Styela clava: one gene and its partner. The protein of the gene in region 2 purifies or fractionates together with the protein of the main gene of each other region. This does not show direct contact. Links are inferred from orthologs where the notes say so. Each region holds a gene or a part of one and is shown on either strand. Other genes may lie near its edges.

Region 1 (7,289 bases), on a different chromosome or scaffold from region 2:
CGATATATCATATCGGCCCAACCGGCCGATATATCTGGCCGATATATATCAGCGTTAGTCGCTTTTCCACGTTCTAAAAAATGAGTATTTTTCCCCGGGAAATATCTGCGGCCGAGCGTTTTCCTTTTTTACGCTTCTCTCATTTTGCCTTTCAATGAACAGAGAGTTCTCTTCTATATTTCTCTCTTCGTGCGGCGCAAAATCCTCGCCTTCGAATATCTTGCGTCCCCACTAGGCTTGCACGTAATCGACAAAAATCAATTACGGAAAAATTGATTACGTAATGACCCCGTAATTGCGATATTTTTTTCACACGTTTAAACCTATCATAAAAACCATTCGAATCCACTTCTTTTCCGAATGGGACATCGAAGTTTGGTTTTCAAATTACCGACAGTACTACACGCCGGCGACAGATGTTAAAGACAAATACCAAGGAGTGAATTCAAATTAAATTTATTCTGATCTTTATCTTGTTTAATTGTGTTGGCTTTGATTTTCCTTTATCACGTTCGCAAATTAACCGTCCCAATTTTATGCGATCAATTTTATCATTACCGATAATGGTATACGGATATTTATGAAACGATAGTTGCCTTTTTTAAAATCGACTTTCGTATTGAATAAAAATTTCGGGTTTCTAAGTTATTAATCAACGACAAGCGTATTTTCTCATTTGATTATACCTGCGCTTGCCTCGCGACGAAGACTTGTTATTGCTCCGTTTTTATACATTATCCGACTTTGCTACCTAGTTAGCATTTTATAATAATTATTGATGCTGAATTATTGACGATATTCCGATTACCAAGCTTCATTTTATATCAAATCATTTCGCGGCCTAAATGTTATAACATCATTTGCGATAAATTTAAATCAAATAATAATTATTTAGCCGGCGATAAATTCTTACCCGTAACTTGTTGTTTATTAATGCTAATAAATTCTATTTTGTTTTTTAATGCGCTGTGATTTGTATTTATAAAAGTGATTGAGTCGGGAAAAGAAAGTAGCCTAGCCTCCTCTCCTTTTAAGCGCTTATAGCGGCGGTAAAATTCGTTTCATGTCTGTTTCACGGAGAGAAAGAAAAATACGCCTTCCGGAATTACAATCAACTATCACACATTCTTATTTATCATTATCAGTGCCGAATAAAAAAGATACCAAATCGTGAAGACAAAAAAGTCTGTCGGTGCTAATTGCGTTACGGTGACAACGCTTATAATAATATCGTTTTGACCGTGAAACCAAACGCTCAAACGGGGTGGCAACGCGTCATGCCGGCTCAAAACGGCTGCGAATACCGGAACTCTAACTTCTTCTACTTGTTAAACTTTGATTTTTTACAATCGACGGAATTGGCTGCTTGGAAGGAGCACGTTTCAAACGCGAAAGCGCTCGACCAATAATTACGACTTTACGTAATTGTAACTTCCCTTCCGTAACTCCAAACAATTCCGTAAATTACGTGCAAGCCTACTCCCACCTACTACTGTATGGATCAAAATGGACTTCTATAAGCTTTTTACTGACTGCCTTTTTTCTCTTGTGCATTAATGTGTGTTCTTATTATTTGCTGCGAAACTTTTATTAATGATGCAAGCACTGTGTAGGACTGCTTTATTTTTCAACATAAACTTTTGATTGACTGAAACTGAATGTTTCTTTCTATTTGTATTTACTGCGGGTTCGAGTTCTAGATATCGGTATGTCAATATCGGTTATCGGTCACTAGTTGGCCGATATATCGTTATCGGTATCGGTGCCAAAAAGTGATATCGGTCGAGCTCTAACAAACACACCATGTGTCTCATAAACTAGGGGCATCTTGCACGACGGCGGATGCGTCATATAGCGCAATGCTTGTCCTGATAATAATCTAAATTAATCGTGGCCATCATGTGACCAAAATTGTTGATTTTCGCTTAAAATTCTATAATGCCACGATAGAAAATTTTTGGGTCTCGTGTAGTTTCGTACTTCTACTTACATACTTCTAGTAGGCGTAGCATAACATTTTTTGACATGTCAACCCTAACCCCCACCTGACTATGCCCTCCAAAAATTATGTTATTACGACATCACAATCACATCATAGAGCTTGCCAAATACACGTACAATAGCACGAAATTGCATCGGCGCTGACGATAAATGAATGACTAACGTCAGCGATCTCTTTCTTATATAGGGATTGTTGCGACAAAAAAACAAGAGAAATAGCTGTTTGATTTCAGGTGCTTGTCTGCGCGTCTTGGATGACAGTTTGAATAGTTTCAAGCTCTATTATGTCACTGTGATGTCGTAATGACGTAATTTTTGGACGGCGTAGTCACGTGGAGGTTAGGATCGACACATGGAAAATTTGTTAGGCTACGCCCACTTGAAGTATGTTAGGTACGAAACTACATGAAAACCAAATATTTTCTTTTGGTGAATCGAATCATTTTTTCCCCCTGAGCAATTCAATTATGACGTCTTTAGATTGCGCTTCTTTGTAGTTTTTTGCGCAACTTCATTTTACTGTATTTTTGCCGATATTGAGGGACAACAATATCCAGACGTCTCCTAAAGGAGGGGTGTTTCTTCATCGACAAAATGGGATTCTCCAAAATGAGACAATGTTATCGATTTATAGAATGTGCCGTACTGTAATACTATAGAGGTAGGCTATAACATGTGTTTTATTACAGTAGCCTACAGAAGGGGAATGTTAAAAAATTGGTAATAAGTAATAGGCTATATACGGTAATGAATGGATGTTTGAATGAGTCAGGCAGTGGGTGATCCGAGGGTCATCACAGCATCAGACAGTCAAAACTGAGGCCTGCAGTAAAGTGATCAAGCAAACAAACATACTTGGCATAGGCTAGTCAGCTAGTATTGCTATAAGTCACGGAATGTTAACTATTAATAATGAAACTCACCCCAGTTCCGTTGTCGCAAACAACGACCTTTCGGCCTGCGGAATCCATGTTCCTTCAATAAATCCGATAATTTCCTCGCAAACTTCCTCACTCAGCAAAGAAACACAAACGTTAACACCCTACAGCTAGATGTAAATCCACTAGATGTCACAAGAACTTCCGCCGGTAAAATCAACTCAACCGTAACTACGCCGCATGATGACGTTGTAGCAATCAATTGTAGTCACTGAACTGGGAATGTAGTAGTATATATTTACGATTATACATATTTATATATCTTTGTGGTTGTGTTTATCATAAACTTAAAGCCGAGCCCGTATATACCGTTAATACTTAACCGTTATATACTTGAAACAAATAGAAGCCCATATGCGAGAAAAAGGCCGGACTCTAAACGCGTATTAAAGTTCAGTGATATATTTGTCCATAAAATATACATCTGAAATATGGACTATATATTAGAAGTTTTCCAATTGCGACAGGCATAGCAGCTATTGTTATTATGGCAGTTTATCACATATGGCGCAATTTGAGTTTGATAAATTCTTCCGTGATAGTAAATTAAAATTCATGTAAATAGAATGAAAATATATAATAGATGTTTCCCCGACCTAGACCCAGAAAAATGCTCCTTATACTTTACCGTACTTTACTATTGCTAAATTTTGCGAGTGTTTTGGAGATTAGCAACTGACAAACTGATTTACATGCTCAAAATCATTATTTTTATTGAAATATGAAACCACGTGCCGATTACTGGTACTGATTTTAGCTCATTTTAGCCTAGTTTATCGCAGCTTTTCCATAACTAATTTTTGATCATTGATTTTAAACTAAAGCTCATCGGAAGACATGAAGACAATTAAAATACTTCATTCACTAGTAATTTTTTGGAAACAAAACTGAAAACGTGTCCAATAACACGCAAAACCGCGAGAAGGCACGCCTGAAAATCTGTGTCTGTCTGAGCTAGGGCTGGGAATGGTTAACCGATTTTAGATAGTTAACGGTTACGATTTATTTTAATCGGTAACTGACATCTCAGGTACAAATCATCTTCATAAAGTACAATTTCTTTAAAAATGATTACGTTGTCGTAAATTTCTCTCCTGTGGCGTTTGATTCAAGAGAATATCACTAACTCTGTATTGGTAAAGACCCAATAAATGTGAAAAGTAATTGAAGTACCAAGATCGCTGATTATGAAAATTTGACAATGATAAATTCAGAATAAGTTTTCAGTCAAAATATATTGTTCACGATTTGATTGCAAAATCGTATATTCAATGTCATCCAACAAGTGCGTATTTGATGCTGTTTTTCTTTATGATATCTCAAAGTAGATTTTGTACGTCGAACACTGATGACAATGAATGAATCTTGACAATTTATCAACCAAAATACCTTTTCAGATTTGAAAAAATTCATGGCTTTTAAAAATGGCGCTCTTTGGCTTAACATATTCGTGCTAACATTCTTTTTTCTAAAATGGGTGTCATGAAATCCCCTCCCGATCGTTTCTAACAGACAAAATTTTGAAAAATGGACTTCGAATTGCTAGTACTTACATTATGCAGCGGTTCCAGCAAATCCCCTGCATGTAATAAAATTAATATCGCGCAATTTGTCACGTTGAATATCAACACAAACCAAGAAACTTTCCAATGTCTTTCCTTGCAAGGTCGATTTTGAGACTTGAATCCTAGCGATGTTACAATTTAATTATAGTCATGAAGTCAGAAATTCGATTTTTTACCATGATACTATCCCCTATTCCATTTTCCAATTCAGTTTTAAGATGGATGTCAGGATGTGCTTCGAAAAAGCTGGGACAAAGATTCCAAAAGAAATTGTAAAGGCAGTAAACGTCTAAATTATCCTCTAAGTATTCTCAAATGGGACGCGCACCAAGATGGCGCACAACCTAAACATAGTATGTGTGTACCGGTCAGAATTCAGGTTGTGCGACATACTTCTGAGCACCATTGAATGGGTTTAATTACACCCAGTTAGGAAACCACTGCAATAAAGTATATTTTCATCTTTATCATGTTGATTCAAGACACGGTTGCAATCATCGATTACTTTGGATTTGGGCGCTGTTCATCGTCATCATGAAAGGACCAACGATAAAAAAAAAAAGATAATTACTAGCCACGAATAAATTTGTATGGGTGGTGGCCCCAAATGTACTCAGCTTGATGTCTTGATTATTTTCTTCATGTTTTCAATATAAATTTGAAGTGGATTTTTACTAACGAAATATGGGGGTTCACAGCTGTTAAATTACCCTCACTACTAAGCTTTTTGTGTCGTTCCATTTTTTCGGGAGTGATATCGCAGATCATGTATCTGTGATAGAAACTCTCTAACCTAGTGTTCCAAGCTATTCCACGTATAATATATATATCTTGCCTTTAACTGTGTAAGCATCAAAGATAACACATTCCGGGCTGAAATCCCATGCCTCCACCTCATCCAGGGTGCAATTAATTGGATAGGCAATATCGATTCTAAATAAAAATAACTCCTTATATTTATCGGGTGACCGTACACTTGAACCCATACATTTACACCCGAATATCCGCGGTTTCAAATGAGGGTGCTAAAATCCATGAGTTAGGATGAGTTCAAATATCCGTAAAATAAAAAAAATTCATAGGTGCAATAGTATGCAGGTGCAATTGTCGTGGGTTCAAATTACGGGTTCAAATGTAATGGAACCATTTATCGTGATATATCAGAATCTGGTTCAATGCAAAAATCAGTACAAGCTGCTTATATTCACTCGAGGTATCCGTCCATGGGTGCAATCTCCTCGGTACATACGCCCATGGAGGGAATATAATGCCCTATAACAAGACAATGAATCAATTCGTTGACCCCCTAATAAAAATTTGGACTGGCTGCGCTCTAGATATAAATACAATCTATTCGATGAGTTTTGTTCTATAAGTCACAAATTTTATAAATAAATGTCGCCAACTACCGGCCATAATATACTGCGATGGCAAATTTATTGAACAAACCCCTGTTTGTAGGCGCAACCCAGCTCAATGATGACTTGTAACTCCAAAAACGAAACAGATTTCATGGAAATTATCCAGCTAAATTGGACTCGCTGTGTACCAAAACTGCACAAGATAGTTATAGTATAAGTATAAGTTTATTTCGGCTCCATAATCAGCAATAGACGATAAAAAAATAGATAAAAACAGAAGTAAAAGTAACTGATTATAGAATCGGGAAAGCGAGCAAAACCTAGAGTAAGGTTTGAAACGTACAGATTTTAAATGAAAAGGTATTGATAAAAGAAGTAGTACGTGTTCGCTCACAAGTTTTTAAGTTCGATAATCGGAAACCCGAGCGGCTTTTAAAAGTTGAATTTTCCGAAGACTTCTGAGAAAACATATTGCAGCCATGACTTGAAAATATGCAACAAAATCACGTTCGACAAAATGTAAAATGTACTTCTCTCTGAAAAAGCCTACTGTTAGAGTTACTTAATAATTTCAAAATAAACTCCATTCCACTCCACAATAAAATGTATATATATATACAACTGATACAATCAATATCGAAATGTTACGTTTTACTTTTACGCTAAAAAAAAGAGTGGATAATGATGGGGATGGGAGTTCCACAAAGCCCTTGTCAATTCATCTACCATCATGTTTTCACGTTCCAACAAATGATCGTTTGCGTAAATTCGAATTGTTTATTTTTTTTTATATAAATTTTCTTGTGTTTTTCACTGCTTGTCATATGTTATCCCAAGCTTTTTTAAACATATCACTAGGGCTGGGCATTTCGAATCGAATATTCGAATCGAATCGAATATTAAATTATTCAAATCGGTTCAAAGCTAAATTTCGAATCGCTACCATCTTGTTTTTTTCTTTCCGCCAATGGTCTAGGTCAGGGGGGTCCAAACCCAGGCCCGCGGTTCACATGTGGCCCGCCACTTCATTATCTGTGGCCCACATCGCATTAGGAGACGAATCAAAAAATTGCATTTTGTGTTGTTTCGTCATAAAATTAACTAAAAAAATCTTTTGACATATTGTTGCATCATTAATGTCACTAAATTGACTAGTGTTATGGCTTGCTGGGGCAACTAGCGAAGTTAAACGAGCAAAGTTTTTGGCACTATTGTGGCCCGCGAACAATGCAAAAGTAATTTTGTGGCCCGGGGAGCTGCCAATCCTGGACCACCCTGGTCTAGGTGAATTCCTCATTTTTTGTTCATTGAAGTCATAATTATTTTTTCAACGCAATTCTAACATATGACTATTCTCTGCAGTGAGTTATTGATAAAACGTGTTTGTTATTGGGTGTGAACGCTCAGTAATCTATCTGCGTGAT
Region 2 (7,533 bases):
ACGACGCCTATTCTTTCCGCCGACGCAGAGTGAACATTCAGCACGCTGAAACGTATTAAAACGTATCTCAGAAACACAATGAAGCAAGATAGATTAAATTCCTTGGCTGTTTTATCCATTCACAGAGACGTTATTTCTGGGATGCATGACTTTAATCAGCGCGTTATTGAGCATTTTGCTTCCAAGAAACCGCGGCGTGTTGCATATATGTTCAAGCAGTAGAAGTCTAGCAGCATATATATCTATGAGTGAGCGACGCATGTCCTTATCTTTGCATTAACTTTCCTTTCTTCATAGTAACGTTTTAAACCTTATTTTAGGTTTTGTCTGCTTTCCCGAAGTTTCTGTTAATATGTCATTGTACCCATATTGCCTTTCCTTTTGAAAGAGGTTTCAAAATAAACTATGTCTATATTTATTAATCCCTTGACTTGGACCGGTTTTAAAGACACTTTCTTATCGTTAAAAATTGTCGCTTTTGCTGATTGGTTGTTACCGATGGAATGGTTTTTATACTCATAAAATGATGGGAGAACTTACAGCGCTCATCCTGTCCCCGTAGATGGGGGTGACTTGGTCCCGCAGTAGCTTGCCCCGGTTGTCAAAATGACCACGCGCCACCACTGATATGCAATATATATATTCTAAAGTTCTAAACTGTGAACAACTTTATTTGGAATATTACAATATTCTGTATATCTTTGCTTCCATCATATTTGAAATACATGCTTTTCCCTTACTGGTTGATGCCAAATTTAGGTCTAAAAATCGACAATTTGCAAATTTAGATATTTTAAAGTTTTCCTAAAATCGAGAATCTACTACTTCCAATATAATAAACTTGTAATAGGTTTGAATATTCAATTCGTTTTGAACATCCTGATTTTGGGGTTTCATTTTCATCAACTGCTTAAACCATACAAAAGCAGATTTGCAGTTTTGGGGAATGTTTCCATATTTAAAGGGTGGTAATTATTTTGTTCTTAGCCATGAAACAATTTGTAACCCATAAAAAGTACGGTAATGTATTTGACTGACCATCTGCACTTGTAGCCTACATGTGATACTTACTGGATATGCAAATACAATTATATTTCAGTTAGGAATTTAGAGCCTGAAATGGATCTCGATGTTGAAAAAAATTTGCTGTTTGGGCGATTACACAAAAGATATAAGTGGAAACAATTGTTTTTGACTGCGCTCATAAAAACGCAATGACTTCCATTGGAGAGATTACACCAAAGTCTTCAGTTGATCCCGCAAAAAAAGAATAGAAGCGCGCTCTAGTTCTATTTATAGGTATGGCTTCGGTAGCTTACTACAAAACCAGGCCACGCAATGACATTGAGATCGCCTCGCAAAATACGGAATTATCGATAAAATATAGCCAAATACATGTAAATGGGGAAGCGATTACAATAAACCACATTGGGTAATGTTCTGTGGTCGTTAATGTTCGCTTTTGACTGGTACGTTGGACATATTATCATCCACGACTAACGCAAATTGAAAAAAAAAAAAACAGTTAGAATTAGCACGGTATGGTTGGGGAGGCCGTAACCGACCACCGGTTACATGAAACCAATTCCTAACGCTTAGCACGATGAGCCACGCCGCCTCGCCACTAATACGAGCCAACAGCAAGAAACGAATCAAGATCAGGCGAATAGGCTATGCAAGAAAAATTGACGCAAATATTCGATTTCTGTCAAATACCATAATAATTGCATTACGCGCCATGAAAAAGTTGGAAGTCCATCGTCAAAACGAAAGAGCCTTCAATTGATACCACAGAAATGAGAGAGAAGCGGACCCCCTGTATATATCTGGGGCTGCAACAGACTAGACTGAAATTAGCGGTTAGTACGTGTCGTTAAATCTTTGGAATTATATTGATGGTTATGAAACGAGTAAACCATTTTGTAAAACCATTTTGTCAACTGTCGGAAGAGATGTCAAAAAATAAGAACATGAGAAGCAGTCATAACCACCAACGACTGATAACCATGGTATAACTCGAGCCGGAAAGATTCACGGTTGAATGCATATGTCAATCAAACTGTCGCTCATGGGCGAGCCTCTTGTTGTGCCTGACGGTGTTTTGCAATTTCCTCCAAGTTTGGGCGCTGTACCGTTGTCGTACATGATATTCTTTTTACGAATTTCGAAGAAAACTGGTCTCATTCTATGCGAAGCCAACTTCTGATTTATCGATAGTATAAACAGTTTTCTAGAAGCTGTAGTACTGTATGGTAGAACTTAGATACCGTACTGTAGACAGAAACGAGAATCGACTGACAAATCAGTAAAAGCTGGAAAGTCTTAACTCTAAACTGGAAGAGGAATTTGAAACACCAAGCACCAGGGAATTGTGTGTCTACTTCTATACCTAGTCTACTTTCCTTAATACATATAACAGAATGGAAAAAAACCAGTAGGCTACCGGTACTGTAGTAGTCTACCGTAAAGTAAAACAATCAGACAATGTTAATCGTTAATTTTAAAAGTAATAGCCTACAAACCTAAAACATTCCAGCATTTAGTCTATGTTATTCAGTTATTGCAACCACATAGGGTACAGTATTGTACACAACTTATTTCAAACCAACTTATCGGGAAAATGGTAATGCTGTATGTTTGAATGTGAAATTTGAGATTTAAGTTATTATTATTACAGTATTATAGTCTATATCTGTATATAATCAATCCCAAAGTGGAAACATGAAGGTTGTGTGTAATGTCAGAATGTGTATAAAAATTGCAAAGAGACATTTGTCGTCCCCTTGCTCAAGGGTTTATTTGGGCCAATTTTAGATTTAGAAAAATAAAGAATGTGTTCCAAAGCAATAATTTGACATACAGACATACTGGTATGCATTTTTAGATTTGTACAGTAAACACAATCATTCCACTGACTTTTACCTTGAATTTATTTCTGCAATCTTGAATTGTCACGTTCTACAGTTCTAGCAAACTTGTAGATTATATCTTAAAAATGGGTACAAATGAAGACTGTAGCAATGAATGGATATATATGTTGCCGAAAGATTGTGTGATGAATAAGCTGGAAGGAGGGATCAAGTCTGAGAATCTAAATGTAGATTCAACATCGCTGTCTGTGCTTACCTTGAAACATCCATGTACAGGAGAGCCTTCAAAATTCCTGTTTAATGACAAACTGAAGCAGTTGTATGAAATAAATTCACACAGAGATAAGTATGGATCCTGGTTTGTTGATGCCAAAGTTCAGCAGGATGGTTCTTTATTCGTTGCAACAATAATTGACCCACTTTATATTGTTCTTCCTTATTTGAATAACAGTGGTCAGGCAGAAAAATATGTAATTTTAGATCAGATTTTAAAAGATGAAAAATATTCAGATTGTAACAAATTTGTTAAGATATTATCAAAATCACAAATGGAAAATGTTGCAGAAGTCTCTGGAACTGGTGATTTTGTAGGATTCAAATACAGCCAGGAAAAAACATTGGAATGGCTGAGTAAAAAAGTCAAAAATACAGTAAATGCTGTCACTTCTTCTGGTATTTTTATAGCGGATAATTGTGATGATAAAGAAAATGAAGATGAAATTCAACTAGAATATGCTTTTCGATTTGTTGAAAGCTATCTTAATGAAGATATTGCGAGTCTTCTACAGAAACATTTAAATATAAGAAAACGTGCAGAAAAGCGACATTCTATGGAGCACGGGAATCAGCTCACTGCAAAAAAAATCAAAAACGAGAAAGAAAGTCATGGAGAAGCTAAAAATAAAAAGGCAAAAGTGTCAAAAGCACAAAGAGACTTGAATAAAGTAAACAAAAAGGGAATGAAAAGCATTTCAAGTTTTTTTTCTCCATCGAGTAAAAAATAGGAGATATTATAGAAATTATGATTTGAATGTAAAGTGTATTTTTAACAGAATGAGCATTTTTGCTATTTCCTACCGCTTTGTTGCTGTCTCGCAATGCCATCAACTGCCAACATGTACTTTCCTATGTTTAATATAAGTGCTCACGATTTTGCTTAATCTTCACAAAGATATTATTTTGCAAAGTTTTCAGATACTCGTTTGTTTGCTATCAATCTAAAGCTGCATTTGACATGAATGTTAAAGCAGATTAGCAATGATTGTATGTTTTCTCTATTTTCATTTAATAATAAACTAATGGTAACGATCAAGGTTTCAATGTTACATTCTTTATAATTTTTTTCATATTTACCATAAATTTGAATTGAAGTAGGGATATTATAATTTCTGCTGCTCAGCTATATTTGATGATGACAAATTGTTATCGAATTTTGGTGAACATTCTTCGGTATCCATTGTACCTAAGACAAATCATTATCTTAAGTTACTCAACAGTAAAATATTTCAATAAGCATCGTGAAAATGAAGTACCGGTAAAGAAATACTATTTTTTAGCCATTAGGATTTCCATGTTGAAAGCTTTTTGATTATTTTCACTGTATTTTGTATGGTAGACTGGAAATTGTTGACATGCTGCTTTATACAAAGTTTCAATGTTCCTCATTTTTTTCATTAAAAATGTTCTAAATTACTTTTGTATTCAATTTTTAATGAATAGTTTTAAAAATCTAAGAGAATTGATTAAATATTGAAAAAGCCACTATTAATCGAAAACATGTGGAGATCCACAGTAGGAAATAATGTTGATATCAAAAACCCAACAGTTGGAAATGATGATGATGATGAATGGGAAACTGATCCTGATTTTGTGGTGAAGTATTAATCACATAATGATTGGTACTCCTGAAGTATGTGAACCAAGATAGCGGACACCATAACGTAGTATGTGTACCAGGTTAGGCTTAGGCCATAATTTCAGGCACAAATACTACGGGAGTCACTTGGCAAGTCCCCGAACTCGTAATAGAACTATAATAAGGAAAATTGAAGTAAAATTATGGCCTAACCTGGTACACATACTATGCTCCGGTATCTGCCATCTTGGTTCCCATACTTCGGGAGTACCTAATAATTAACATAATAAATGAACAGAATTTGGAAAATTACTATGACTAGCATAATGTCAATATTTACTTAATACATACCATATACTGCTTATTTGACAACTGTTTTATTCAGAGCCTTACCCAGACTGAGGAAAGAGATTTATTATTTGGTCAACCAGCAAACGAGCGCCGCAACAATAATAAAAATATACTACATTCTCAAGGTTATTAGGTATATGCTGGGTAACGATATCAAAATCAGCTCCCCAAGACATGAAAAAATTGTATAAAGAATCTGGTAGTAGATGGTTTTGTTTTAAATAAAGTTCATTTATTTATCTATAGAATGAAGTTTCTGAAACAGAACAAAGATGGGGATCAAAAACTATCGAAGGTTCAGGAAGAGTTGGACACATAAGGTATCGGTTTCAGCTAAATGTAATATGAAGTGGATGGAAATGTTAATATCAGAGTTACAGAAAGCACTATTTTAGAATTCTATCATTTATTCTCTGTACTGAACGCTTGATCAAAGTTATTGTACAGCTACTCTCATCATTTCTCTAATTGAGAGTGTGTCTTTCCAGCTGCACTTTAAATCTATCAGAAGGCATATCAAAAGTGCCTTTTGAAACTATAATTGGACATAGTACGCTTTTCAAGCATTGCTTACTCATTTTTGTTATAATTGTTCATTTTCTATTTCGTTTTAGTGTAAGTGGACTTCGTAAAGATGTGCAAAAAGATGATGAAAAAGCGAAGCAAGAAGAAGCAAAAACAGGACCAAAAGCATCATATGGGTGAGTAATTTATGACATTCTATTCTGTTATGCACAAAAGTGGGGGTAGTTACATCATTCTCTAATTCACCGACTCGTGCATCGTGCATTTTAAATTTACTCCACAATAAAGTCAATGCATCTGGAACAAATAACTGGCTTACTAACCCCATACTCGACATAAACTGGTAACCGGACGAGAGGCTGTGGTTCGACATATGGCTTTCCTCTTTCCCGAGATAAATATGTAAATCTTTAGCCTTAAACCTTAGCCTTCCTTGGTTTTTGTGTGATATTGTAAATGCTCTAAAGTCTAAAGTGTGGAGGATTAACATTTTCAATAAAAATTTCTGTTTATAGAGTTTGTGTAATCTAGTTCACAAATCAATAGAATAGTCACCATGTTTCACTGATCCATGTGTCTTACCTAAAGCGAACTTCCTGAGTGGGAAGTTTGGTACAATTAACACATGATATAGCTATATAGTTACAACCACTTTTATGGAATGCCCCCAGAAATAAACAAATGAGTATAATATTGAGTTCAAAGTCATACCATAATTGTATTTTAAAGAATTTTTTTTTTATGTTAGTTTATTTGGTTCAAAAACAAAAGATATTCTGCTAATAAGTATCCTTTCTCGATATAGAATAGTCACCCCTATCTATTCATGATTCTGTTATTCAGGTACGGAGGAAAGTTTGGTGTTCAGAAAGACCGAATGGATAAATCTGCTGTTGATAACACATATCAGGCAAAGCTTGCAGCTCATACATCCCAAGTTGATGCAGCAAAAGGATTTGGCGGGAAATTTGGTGTACAGAAAGACAGAGTTGACAAAGTTAGTATTGCTATTATGTTAATTATATTATAAAAGCCATGCACATGTATGGGATTCAGAAATTGTCATTTCGTTTCTCTCAATTTTTTGATTGTTTCCATTATATTTTTTTAATCTTAAAATGTATATATTATATTTAGTCTGCTGTTGACTTCAGTTATAAAGCCAAACTCGCAGCTCACGAATCTCAAACAGACGCAGCTAAAGGTTTTGGTGGTAAATTTGGTGTACAAAAAGACAGGATGGATAAGGTACTGAATTTTGCATTAAAGGCAACACATGCAATTTTTGAAACCTCTTTATCAGCTGGATCATAAGACGCATTAACTTCAGCCAACCAGGTCCAACCTCTTACATCTTGAATGAATTACTGGGTAATTAGTCCCATACCCAACCCTGGATTAAAAAACAACTATGTTGTATACATTTCTCATTATCCTAATTAATTTGTAATTTTTTTATACAAACAAACATTTATGTAAATTGGGAGAAATATCATATTCTTTCTATTTATACGATTCCAGAGTGCTGAAACTTTCGAATACAAAGAGAAGATGAACAAGCATGAGTCTCAAAAAGGTATAAAATACCTAATTTTTTGCATGTTTACTTGATTGCTCATTTAATGCACAACATCCGTTGGGTTTTCTATCAAAGTCATTTATATTCATTTATTTCAAAGTTCTATTAAAAAAATTGTTTATATTTGAAAATAAATTGAATGAAGTCCCAGCTTATTAATTCATTTTAGAATTTTGCTCATATAATTTATATTCTGATTTACCTAACTTCATAAAAAATAACGTTTTACTGCAACAGAATATCATTTCATATTCATAATGATCAGAGTTATTTAATTTGATTTAACGAAGACGCTTTCAAATAAATTGACTCAATTATATGAAATTTTCAAATATTATTGTGTTATTGTTGAT

Evidence for each region. Proteins that work in one complex are often made in the same cells at the same time.
Region 1: the proteins of uncharacterized protein LOC120330719 (region 2) and actin-related protein 2 purify together in Homo sapiens (affinity purification with mass spectrometry; 3 studies listed by BioGRID and IntAct, with this or other methods). This does not show direct contact. The link is inferred for Styela clava from reciprocal best matches to the Homo sapiens genes CTTN and ACTR2.

The regions. Positions count from the first base shown.
Region 1 is NC_135251.1:20,269,835-20,277,123, forward strand, and holds the start of actin-related protein 2, read right to left. Parts: upstream 3,085-7,289; 5' UTR 2,973-3,084; coding exon 2,925-2,972; intron 1-2,924. UniProt on the Homo sapiens protein: ATP-binding component of the Arp2/3 complex, a multiprotein complex that mediates actin polymerization upon stimulation by nucleation-promoting factor (NPF).
Region 2 is NC_135255.1:2,031,367-2,038,899, forward strand, and holds the start of uncharacterized protein LOC120330719, read left to right. Parts: upstream 1-4,516; 5' UTR 4,517-4,646; coding exon 4,647-4,742; intron 4,743-5,322; coding exon 5,323-5,396; intron 5,397-5,690; coding exon 5,691-5,777; intron 5,778-6,444; coding exon 6,445-6,598; intron 6,599-6,738; coding exon 6,739-6,849; intron 6,850-7,122; coding exon 7,123-7,177; intron 7,178-7,533. Other genes in the region: ribonuclease H2 subunit B-like, read left to right, coding at 2,996-3,874.